Tribolium castaneum: one gene and its partners. The protein of the gene in region 3 binds, or shares a complex with, the protein of the main gene of each other region. Links are inferred from orthologs where the notes say so. Each region holds a gene or a part of one and is shown on either strand. Other genes may lie near its edges. The genes, in order: Sf3b6, Mfap1 and Sf3b3.

Region 1 (2,524 bases), on a different chromosome or scaffold from region 3:
TTAGAAAAATTGCGTCGACAAGACATTGCCCAACATGTTCGAGCAGCGGCCGGAGTGGCAGCAGAGCAATTACCAGACTATTTAAACGAATGTTCCATTGTGTATTTACCAGAAATGGGACATTTGGTTGCGATAAACGAATGGAAACCGAATTGCGATCCCGAGGAATTGAAAGATTTAGGATTTCAATTCATGGTAAGAAAATTCCTAAGGCGATTTATCACTTATTGGGTATTTTGTAGTTCACGTTGCGTGGAACAATCCATTACAAGAATCCACTATGTTTAGGTATAAAAAATTTAAATTTATTGTTTTTCTATCATTTTAATTTAGAATTGGACGAAAACCTTGGCGACATTAATGCCGAAATAATCGCCCACGAAAATCGCATTTTGCAACGCCTTTCCTCCTTCATTCTCAAATACAACAAGGATATTAGAGAGCCTCTTAGAGTCTTATCGCTGTTTGATGCGTACGATTTTATTGATTTTTTCTCCCAATTATACACAATTTTTAGTTTGATAGCAATAGCGAAAGTCTCGGCACAAAATAATTACGTCCGACCTGCTTTAAACAACCAAAATATGCACGAAATCCGCGAGTGTCGTCACCCTCTCCTCGAGCTGGTCTCAAATTTCGAGCCCAATGACTTTTGCTCGGGGAATCACCACAGTCACATTAAAATAATCACGGGGCCTAACGGCAGTGGCAAAAGTGTGTATTTGAAGGAAGTAGCCCTCGTTATTTACTTTGCCCACATTGGCTCCTACGTGCCTGCCAGGAGCGCCAACATCGGGATTTTGCATTGCATACATTCCAGAATGCAAGCGACGGAATCGGCAGCCGTGCGCCTATCTGCATTTATGATTGACGCAATCCAGGTCTGTATAAAATTTTGCGAAAAAATTAATCGTAAATTAGGCCACGCAAGCGATTCATAACGCGCGCCACAACTCTCTGATCTTATTGGACGAGTTTGGCCGGGGAACCACCGTGGAGGATGGACTTGCTTTACTGGTCGGCTTTCTGGCCGACTTTCACAAACAAGGCAATAACTGCCCTCACATACTTGTCTCGACGCACCACCAAAGCATTTCTGATTTTTTACCGGAAGATGGTGTTGTTGAATATTTGAAAATGGCACATTCGGAGGAAAATGGGACACTTTTGTTCCTTTATAAAGTGGCGAAAGGTGTTTCGAGGAGTTTTGCGATAAAAATTGCGGCCGAAGTTGGCGTGGATGCGAGTATTATCAAACGGGCAAACGAATTGTTTGAAAAAAAGAAAACAGTCACGCCATTAGTCCGTTGTGAGAGTTATCCGGCTTCCGTTAATGATAGTGCGTTGATTGCGTTTTTAAAAGATGTTAATATTCCGGAACCAGATGAGGCATAATTGTGTTTGAATATCCCGCTTTAGTTTTGTTAATTGTTGGGTTGGTACGTGTTACGTTGGCGATCGTGTTGTTCAGTCAATAAAAACGTTTGTGTGAGTTTGTTTTTGTATTTAATTCATTGAAGCAAATTAAAAAAACGCCACAATGGCTTTGGCTATGCAAAGAAAGGCAAACGTAAGTCGTTAAATACCAAAAATTTGACCCAAAAAATGTTTTTTTTTATAGGTTAGGTTGCCCCCAGAAATCAACCGAATTCTCTACATCCGCAATCTCCCCTATAAAATAACAGCCGAAGAAATGTACGATATTTTCGGTAAATATGGGGCTATCAGGCAAATCCGCGTCGGTAATACCCCGGAAACTAGAGGCACAGCTTTTGTGGTTTATGAGGACATTTTTGACGCAAAAAACGCTTGTGACCATTTGTCCGGCTTTAATGTTTGTAATCGGTATTTAGTGGTTTTGTATTATCAGGCGAGTAAAGCGTTCAAGAAGACCGATATTGAGAAGAAACAGGAAGAGATTGATAAGATGAAATCAAAATACGGAATTAATACGTAAACATATTGTATTGTACATAATTTTAAGCTTTTTAAATAAATAATTACAATGAGAATGATTTTTATATCTAACGCAATTAAATCTCCCTTTAAATTCCCTTTCAATTCAGGGTGAGTCTGCTAAGAGTTTTTTTTTATGGGTACAAATTAAATGCACAGTATTTTATTTAAACGACAAGTATTTTTGATCAGTAAAAATAATAAACGCACAGTAAAAATAATAAACGCACAGTTAAAATAATAAATGCACAGTAATAATAGTAAATGCTCAGTAAAAATAGTAAATGCTCAGTAAAAATAATAAATGCACAGTAGATAATAGCATCTCAAAAATCGTTCGCGGGATATGTTTCGTTTTAGTTCGATGGGGCGAAGCCCCAGCCTGCAGGCTATCTATTGAGCGTTTATTATTTAAACCGTGTAAACTGAAACTAGATACTGTGCATATACGATTTTTTTACTGGGTAAATTTTAATAAAATACTGTGCGTGGTTTTGTCATTTAAATTTTTTACTGAGTAAAAATGGATTAAATACTGATCATTTATTATTTCTACTGTGCAAAAATT
Region 2 (4,047 bases), on a different chromosome or scaffold from region 3:
CGATAATACATTTAAATGAATTCCATCCGCGTCTCTAATAACCGGTAGACCTTTGACACGTCGTCTCCGGACCCGAAAAAATCGCCGGAAAACTCCGGGAAAGAAAAGGGGGGCATTCCGGGTGTCGTTGACCCATTCCCATCACATCCATCTCGACGTCATCGTCTGCAGGCCGAAAGATAAATAACACTTTGGTAGCCCCATAGACAGTGATTCTTGGTATACTTTGCATAATAGCATCGCAGCATGCCCTGCCTAAACGTCAGACTCCACACAGACTTCTTGATCGTGCTGACATACAAGAAACAAGAATTTGCCGCGCCTATTTTGCTGTTTTTATCCGCACTTGACAATAACAATCCCGGCATTGGCTTCAATTACGCAAATTATAGCCCATTTATTCGATTTTTCAGCGGTTTTTCAAATGGACACTCGCTTCAACTCGCTGCCATCGAGGCCAGCCAAGACCAGCCAACTCGAAAATGCTTTACCAAAACGGTAAACCAGACGCTGGTTACCGGTGGATGGTTTATAACCGAAAATACGGTTTCAAAGACGGTTCTTTCCATCACACTTACCACTTGGTACAAGTTGTGTTGCCGTTTGTAATCCAATTATTGTAACTCATAAAATGCACACAACACAGAAAATACACCCGCAACCACTCTATTTGTTCATAATGTTGGAATATTTTGGCACAATCGCGTAAAAATTATAATAACACAGCTTCGCCGCGTCTTCTTCCACGCTTGCGTTTCGTAGATTTAACTTGATTCAGCATCAACAGGTGGTATTGCCAACCCAACGGCAACAGCTAATTTGCATTTCGGTTTCTTACGTTGGTGGCCCTCGACTTTTTTTACCCACAGGTTTAAACAATCCAAATAACTTTCGAATGAAACGTATAAACAAAAAAAAACGTTTACTCTTTATTACCAATTTAAACAATAAAAGTCACAATTTTTTGTAATTTGTTTGATAAAAGGAACACATTTTCTACACGTATCATTTAGAAAGAAACACGATATAGTTTTAACATATAAAAACCAATAGATAATACAATATAATAAAATTCTAAGTTGCAAAATCCATAGATTCTGTATTAATTATTGCGATTATTATAAAAAATATATTGGTTTGATTATTATACAACCAAAATTACACCTTATTTATTTATGTTTGCAATCAAGTCTCTGCGCTGAGTTTAAATCAGTTACGAACAAAATTTTTTTTTGGTTCATTTATCAAAAAAATTCTCGAACCGGTTGATTTTATTTTTATAATTCATTGATTATTTTTCAATTCTATGCTTGTCACTTGTCAACCTGTGTTGTCAACTGTCAAATGTAAAGTTGTGGCACAAAAACAATTTTCGTTTATTTTAGAATTAAAAACGACTTTCAATAGTCGATTTTCACAATGATGAACCCCCAGCCCTATTATGGCATCCAGAGTACTGCGGGTGCGGTTCCCGTTCGCAACGAAAAAGGTAAAATATCTTTCTTACCTATGACGGCTATAACCTCATTGTCAAAAATTAATAAAAAAATTGTAACAAATAAAAATGCCTTCTGAGCCGTTTCCGCCTATTTCCAGGCGAAATTTCGATGCAAAAGGTGAAGGTGCACCGCTACGTGTCTGGAAAGAAGCCCGATTATGCCCAAGACGCGCGTTCGAGCAGCGACAGCGACGACGACGATTTCCTGGAGCGTCGCAATCAGCCCCAACAGCCCCCAACGCCGGAGCCTTCACGCAGCGATGACGAACTGAATGACCCCCGTTTGCGTCGTCTGAAAATCGCAGAAGTTGAAACTGAAGTGAGGCCAGAACGCCGCCGTCACGTTGTGGAGCCAGAAGTGTTGGAATCGTCTGATGAAGAATCCGAAAAGGAACAAATTAATTTACCCGAACATAAACACACACTGGAGGCGGCTCCTGACGATGATGAGTCCGAAGTGGAGCTTAGCGATAGCGAAATCGAGAAACGCAGAGAAATGATGAAAAAACGCATGATGGAAAAGCAGGAAGAGGAGTTTATGGTGAAAGAAGAAGAAAAGTCGGAGTCGTCGGAAGAATCGTCAGAGTATGAAGAGTACACAGATTCGGAGGAGGAGACTGGCCCCAGATTAAAACCGATTTTTGTAAGAAAGAAAGACAGGATCACGATCATAGAAAAAGAAAAGGAGGTACAGAAGCAGAAGCAGCAAGAATTGGAAGCTGTGAGAAATGCGGAAGAAAGGCGGCGACAAACGCTACGTCTTGTTGAGGAAACAATCAGGAAGGAACAGCAACAGAAAGATAAAGAAAATAACGAACCCAACCTTAACGACGTTTGCACAGACGATGAAAACGACGAAATTGAATACGAAGCTTGGAAACTAAGGGAGTTGAAGCGAATCAAAAGAGATCGCGAAGAACGCGAAGCTATTGAAAAAGAGCGACTTGAAGTCGAACGATTGAGGAACATGACGGAAGAAGAGAGAAGGCTTGAGCTGAGACTAAACCCCAAACAAGTCACAAACAAAGCCATCAAGGGGAAGTACAAATTCTTGCAGAAATATTACCACCGTGGTGCGTTCTATCTTGATAAGGAGGACGAGGTTTTCAAGAGAGATTTCGCACAAGCAACTCTGGAAGATCACTTCGATAAAACTATTTTGCCGAAAGTTATGCAAGTCAAAAATTTCGGACGGTCTGGACGAACGAAGTACACACATTTGGTGGATCAAGACACAACTCATTTCGATTCACCTTGGTCAAGTGAAACCTCGCAAAATCTCAAATTTCACTCGACACAAGCAGGGGGCGTCAAGCAAGTCTTTGAAAAACCCTCGTTGAAAAAAAGGAAAACGCAGTAGTAAGGTGTAATAACCACTAGACTTAGATGCAAAAAATATATATTTTTATTCATCAATTAAAGAACAATGTAATAGGGAAATCACACTTTCATACAAGCTTCAAGCAATATACAAAGTAAATTAACATCATCATAAAGTATAGACTAAAGTTCGCAACAGTTTTTAAATTAAACAGTTTTATGTTAACCAGTCAGTTTTAAAATGCGGTTGAGTGGTTAACTTGAAACAGTTTTAATTTGAAAACGAATTATTTTTGGAACCACCTAATGACAAATTAAAGGTTGGCTGTAATTTAAAAATTCTCCTACTTAATTATCAGCGTGAGTTAAATTCACCATTTTTGTGATAGGTATCAAAGCGAATGAATTTAACTGACGGTATATAGTTGAACAATGGAAAACAGCATTTTTCAAACAATCCTAGCGAGTAACTGAATCAATATAAGCGCATTGTGACTTCGTGCGTTAATTACAACTTTAAAGCACGAAGAGCAATTTTGGCAGCGGCCCTTTTAGCCAAGATTTTGTTCGTTCCAAACCCATGAACTCGTTTCTTTCTACCTTCACACATAAAGTCTAAAGAAACCATAGTCTTTTGATTACCAACTTCCAACGCTTTACTGTGAAAGAAAAAATAAATCAAGGCTCAAACGCAACACAACTTACCTAAATTGCGGAGGGTAAACAGTATGGCACTCGTACAATCTCCTGATGACATTTTTTGGCACATTCTTGCTAAAAAGATCAATTTCGCGCCAGATAATCTTGTAAAACACCCTCCAAACAGTCTTCAAATCCTTATTGCTATCTAGATAAATTGCGCCAGCAAGGGCTTCGAAAATATCACCCAAAACTTTAGGCACATCGACGTACTCGGCGATATTCATCTCATCCTCCTCCAACAAAATCAGAACTTCATCGTCGATCACGTAATTTTTTGAAGCAAGGTAATCGGCAAACTTGTCAATATGACCTTGCAAATTCGAATTCATCATGAGCAAAAACTTGTGAAACCCGCATCGGACAACAAGGCTTGCGAACGTGTTATTGTTGACAAGGGATGACCGCAAATCGGTCACTTGACCCGGCTCCAAATGCCCACAATGTTCGAAAATATAACACGTGATGAGGAAATCAAGCACAGCATCACCAAGAAACTCCAACCGTTCGTAGCTCAGTGTTATGCGATT
Region 3 (3,659 bases):
AGACGTATTAATTTATTTAAAAACAAGAAACTGTAACAAATTTTATTTATTAGCGTCAATTAGTTCAAAAACGACTGGTAGACTCTCGTATTTTCCGCTGCGCTTATTAAGGGTTTCGATTTTGGGAGAGTTTCACTCATTTACAAAGTCGGGTAAAATTTTAAAACATTATAAAATAGCCTAAGTGACAGAATAAAAAACGCATGGATCTGCTCAGGCATCTATTTAATTGGTTGTCTGTTTTTGTTCCATGCAATATTAACCTCTTCTTGTCGCCTCCGTCGCATTTCTGTGGTGTTATGGAGTGAATCAAGGAGATACATTTTTTTTTTCAGTTTTGTTTTGTCATTAATAATACTAAATAGTAATAAAGAAAATTCGTCGCAAACTAATTTTATTTACAGTAATTCTGTACTATGTCTATTTTTTATTCTTTATTTTTTGAAATCAAATAATTTGTTAAGTTTTTTAATGTCAAAATATTTTCATGGGTGATTTTTTCAGCTACTTGTATCAGATCGCCCATCTTGGTGACGACGACGATGAGTTGGAGTTTAGCTCCGCTATGCCCTTAGAAGAAGGTGACACTTTTTTTTTCGCGCCTCGTTCCCTTCGTAACTTGGTTTTGGTCGACGAAATGGAATCGCTTTCACCGATTCTATCTTGTCGAGTTGCTGATCTGGCAGGTGAAGACACTCCTCAATTGTATATGCTTTGCGGAAGAGGCCCGAGATCCTCATTGCGGGTTCTACGACACGGTCTCGAAGTGTCTGAGATGGCCGTGTCCGAGCTTCCTGGCAATCCCAACGCCGTTTGGACGGTTAAGAGAAGAAGTGACGGTAAGCCTATTTTATTTTATTACTTTAAATGAAATTCATTGTGAATGAATTTCTAATAAAGCCTGGTGGTTGAACGATTTTCAACACCAGTTGCTTTTTATTTCAGATGGCGATTGGTTTGCTTGTCGTTCTGCGGGAGTAAGGTGAGTTGGAAGAAAAGAAAAACGGGGGACAATTAACGAAACAGTGATGATATTTTTTGTCCGTGTTTCAACTGAATCATTGTGATTATAGTTAATAACTGAGTTTTCTTATGACAACTTAGTATTATCTAAGATACTTGGTTTAAATACTATCATTTTGGGTTTATTTGTTACAGATGAATATGATGCTTATATTATTGTGTCTTTCGTTAACGCAACTTTGGTATTGTCAATTGGTGAAACTGTGGAGGAGGTTACAGACAGTGGCTTTTTGGGTACGACACCAACATTGTCCTGTTCAGCTCTTAGTGACGATGCCTTAGTTCAGGTACTTCTCATAATGCCCATTTCTATATATTAATTTGCAATTGATTTTTTATTATTGTATTTTTTTATTTTTAGGTGTATCCAGGCGGTATTCGGCATATTTGTTCCGATAAGCGTGTAAATGAGTGGAAAGCTCCAGGGAAGAAAACAATCGTAAAGTGTGCAATTAATCAACGACAAGTGGTTATTGCACTGTCAGGGGGTGAACTAGCTTACTTCGAAATGGATCCGGTAAATATTTTACTTCAAAAATTATTATCCCAGTTTATTCAAGGCGTTATTGTCTTTAATGCAAGTTTACTCTAACTTTATAAGTGTTATAACGGTAATTTTTCGCTTATTTATTCCGTTTACAATAAATTGCTGCATTTGATACATCGTAAAGTAACAAAAATATCAAATTGCATTCATTTTTCTAAACTATTAAACTATTGAAACATAAGCAAAAATCATTGCAATTACCGAAAACTGTGATCTAATCAAATTGCAATGTTTTTTAGAAAAAAGATGCATTAAAAAGTAAAAAATACTGTTTTTCTTTCAGTGGAGAATATTTTTGCTTACAAGTTAGGATTCTAAAATTTATAAAAGCTTGAGAATTTCGACTGTTTTGAGTGACAATAGCAGGGCGTCATACGCTCTCGGAGAGCTTCAAGAAAATACAGACTTTTAGAACTCTGACTATTAACTAACTCGCTTGAGTCGCTTCCCTCATTTGGCAAATTTCCATTCGCAATTCGGTTCAGTTTTCTGATAAAATCACACAAGCGGACTCACTTCTTGAGATTTTCACAATTTCAGCGATCTTTTAGTAGTAATTCCGTGTTTTACAGACGGGCCAATTACACGAATACAAAGAACGAAAACGTATGAACGCCGACGTCGTTTGCATGGCATTAGCAAACGTGGCGCCCGGCGAACAATTATCCCTCTTCCTTGCCGTGGGATTAGCCGATAGTACAGTACGGATTATCTCGCTAGATCCGAGCGATTGTTTGGCGCCGCGTTCTATCCAAGGATTACCCGTTTGTGCCGAGTCTTTATGTATCGTAGAAATGGGTTGCACAGATCGTGAACCGGATAACGCTGCAGCTGCCAGCACAACAAGCACCTTATATCTGAACATTGGACTTACAAACGGCGCTTTACTTCGCAACGTATTAGATCCAGTTTCTGGAGAATTGTCAGACACAAGAACGAGATATTTGGGTTCGAGACCGGTCAAACTCTTCCGAATACGAATGCAACAATCGGAAGCTGTTCTGGCAATGAGTAGCCGTTCTTGGTTGAGTTATTACTACCAAAGTCGGTTTTATTTGACTCCACTCTCGTATGAAAGTCTGGAATATGCCTCAGGGTTCAGTTCCGAGCAGTGTCCAGAAGGCATTGTTGCGATCTCCACAAATACGTTACGTATTTTGGCGTTGGAAAAACTAGGGGCTGTTTTTAATCAAGTCTCATTTCCGCTTGAATACACCCCGAGGAAGTTTATAATCCATCCTGAAAGCAATAATTTGCTGATCATTGAAACCGAGCACAATGCCTACACCGAAGAAACCAAAAAACAACGAAGATTACAAATGGCCGAAGAAATGAAAGAAGCCGCAGGTGAAGAAGAACAAGAGTTGGCTAAAGAAATGGCCGATGCGTTTTTGAATGAAGACTTGCCCGAAAGTATTTTTTCGGCGCCTAAAGCCGGGCATGGAATGTGGGCTTCGACGCTTAAAATAATGGATCCGGTACAAGGAATCGTGCATAAGTGTATACGATTGGAACAGAACGAGGCAGCAATGTCTAGTGTTTTGGTTAAATTCCAAAATCAGCCACAACAAACTCTGTTCTTGATTGTTGGCATTTCTAAAGATTTTCAACTAAATCCAAGGCATTGTAACACTGGGTTTTTGGATACTTATAAAATGGATCCAATGGGTCGGGAGTTGGAATTTGTTCATAGAACTCCTGTTGATGAAGTTCCAATGGCCCTTTGTGCTTATAATGGACTGCTACTTGCAGGAGTTGGCAGGATGTTGAGGCTTTACGATATGGGGAAGAAGAAACTCTTAAGGAAATGTGAAAACAAGGTTAGTATTATCATTTGTTTAATCATTATTGATATAATTCAGATGTTTAGACTAAGGCAATGGCATTGCTTCTTTCCTGATGTACACTGAAATATTTTTTTGCTGAAATTAAAAATTAATAAAGTATATTTTTTTAAGTATTAACTTTATAACGATAATATATTGTGGGGAGGGACATAATTTCAAGATTAAAAAAGAACTATTTCATACTAATCTGCTTCAAAATTATTTTAACAAACCTCTTTTTTTAATTGTGAAACAACTTCCGT

What was found.
Region 1: Sf3b3 (region 3) and Sf3b6 share a complex: the UniProt entries of both Drosophila melanogaster proteins name them as parts of the splicing factor SF3B complex. The link is inferred for Tribolium castaneum from reciprocal best matches to the Drosophila melanogaster genes Sf3b3 and Sf3b6.
Region 2: Sf3b3 (region 3) and Mfap1 share a complex: the UniProt entries of both Drosophila melanogaster proteins name them as parts of the spliceosome B complex. The link is inferred for Tribolium castaneum from reciprocal best matches to the Drosophila melanogaster genes Sf3b3 and Mfap1.

What each region holds. Positions count from the first base shown.
Region 1 is NC_087395.1:21,527,774-21,530,297, forward strand, and holds Sf3b6 (splicing factor 3B subunit 6), read left to right. Parts: upstream 1-1,411; 5' UTR 1,412-1,540; coding exon 1,541-1,570; intron 1,571-1,621; coding exon 1,622-1,957; 3' UTR 1,958-2,012; downstream 2,013-2,524. Other genes in the region: mutS protein homolog 5, read left to right, coding at 5-195, 243-288, 334-881, 922-1,395. UniProt on the Drosophila melanogaster protein: Involved in pre-mRNA splicing as a component of the splicing factor SF3B complex. SF3B complex is required for 'A' complex assembly formed by the stable binding of U2 snRNP to the branchpoint sequence (BPS) in pre-mRNA.
Region 2 is NC_087397.1:4,122,499-4,126,545, forward strand, and holds Mfap1 (microfibrillar-associated protein 1), read left to right. Parts: upstream 1-1,300; 5' UTR 1,301-1,419; coding exon 1,420-1,489; intron 1,490-1,596; coding exon 1,597-2,858; 3' UTR 2,859-3,326; downstream 3,327-4,047. Other genes in the region: Dcr-2 (Dicer-2), read right to left, coding at 3,327-3,477, 3,524-4,047. UniProt on the Drosophila melanogaster protein: Required for pre-mRNA splicing.
Region 3 is NC_087394.1:10,463,091-10,466,749, reverse strand, and holds part of Sf3b3 (splicing factor 3B subunit 3), read left to right. Parts: intron 1-504; coding exon 505-839; intron 840-900; coding exon of another isoform or gene 901-982; intron 983-1,158; coding exon 1,159-1,310; intron 1,311-1,384; coding exon 1,385-1,540; intron 1,541-2,142; coding exon 2,143-3,390; intron 3,391-3,659. UniProt on the Drosophila melanogaster protein: Involved in pre-mRNA splicing as a component of the splicing factor SF3B complex, a constituent of the spliceosome. SF3B complex is required for 'A' complex assembly formed by the stable binding of U2 snRNP to the branchpoint sequence (BPS) in pre-mRNA.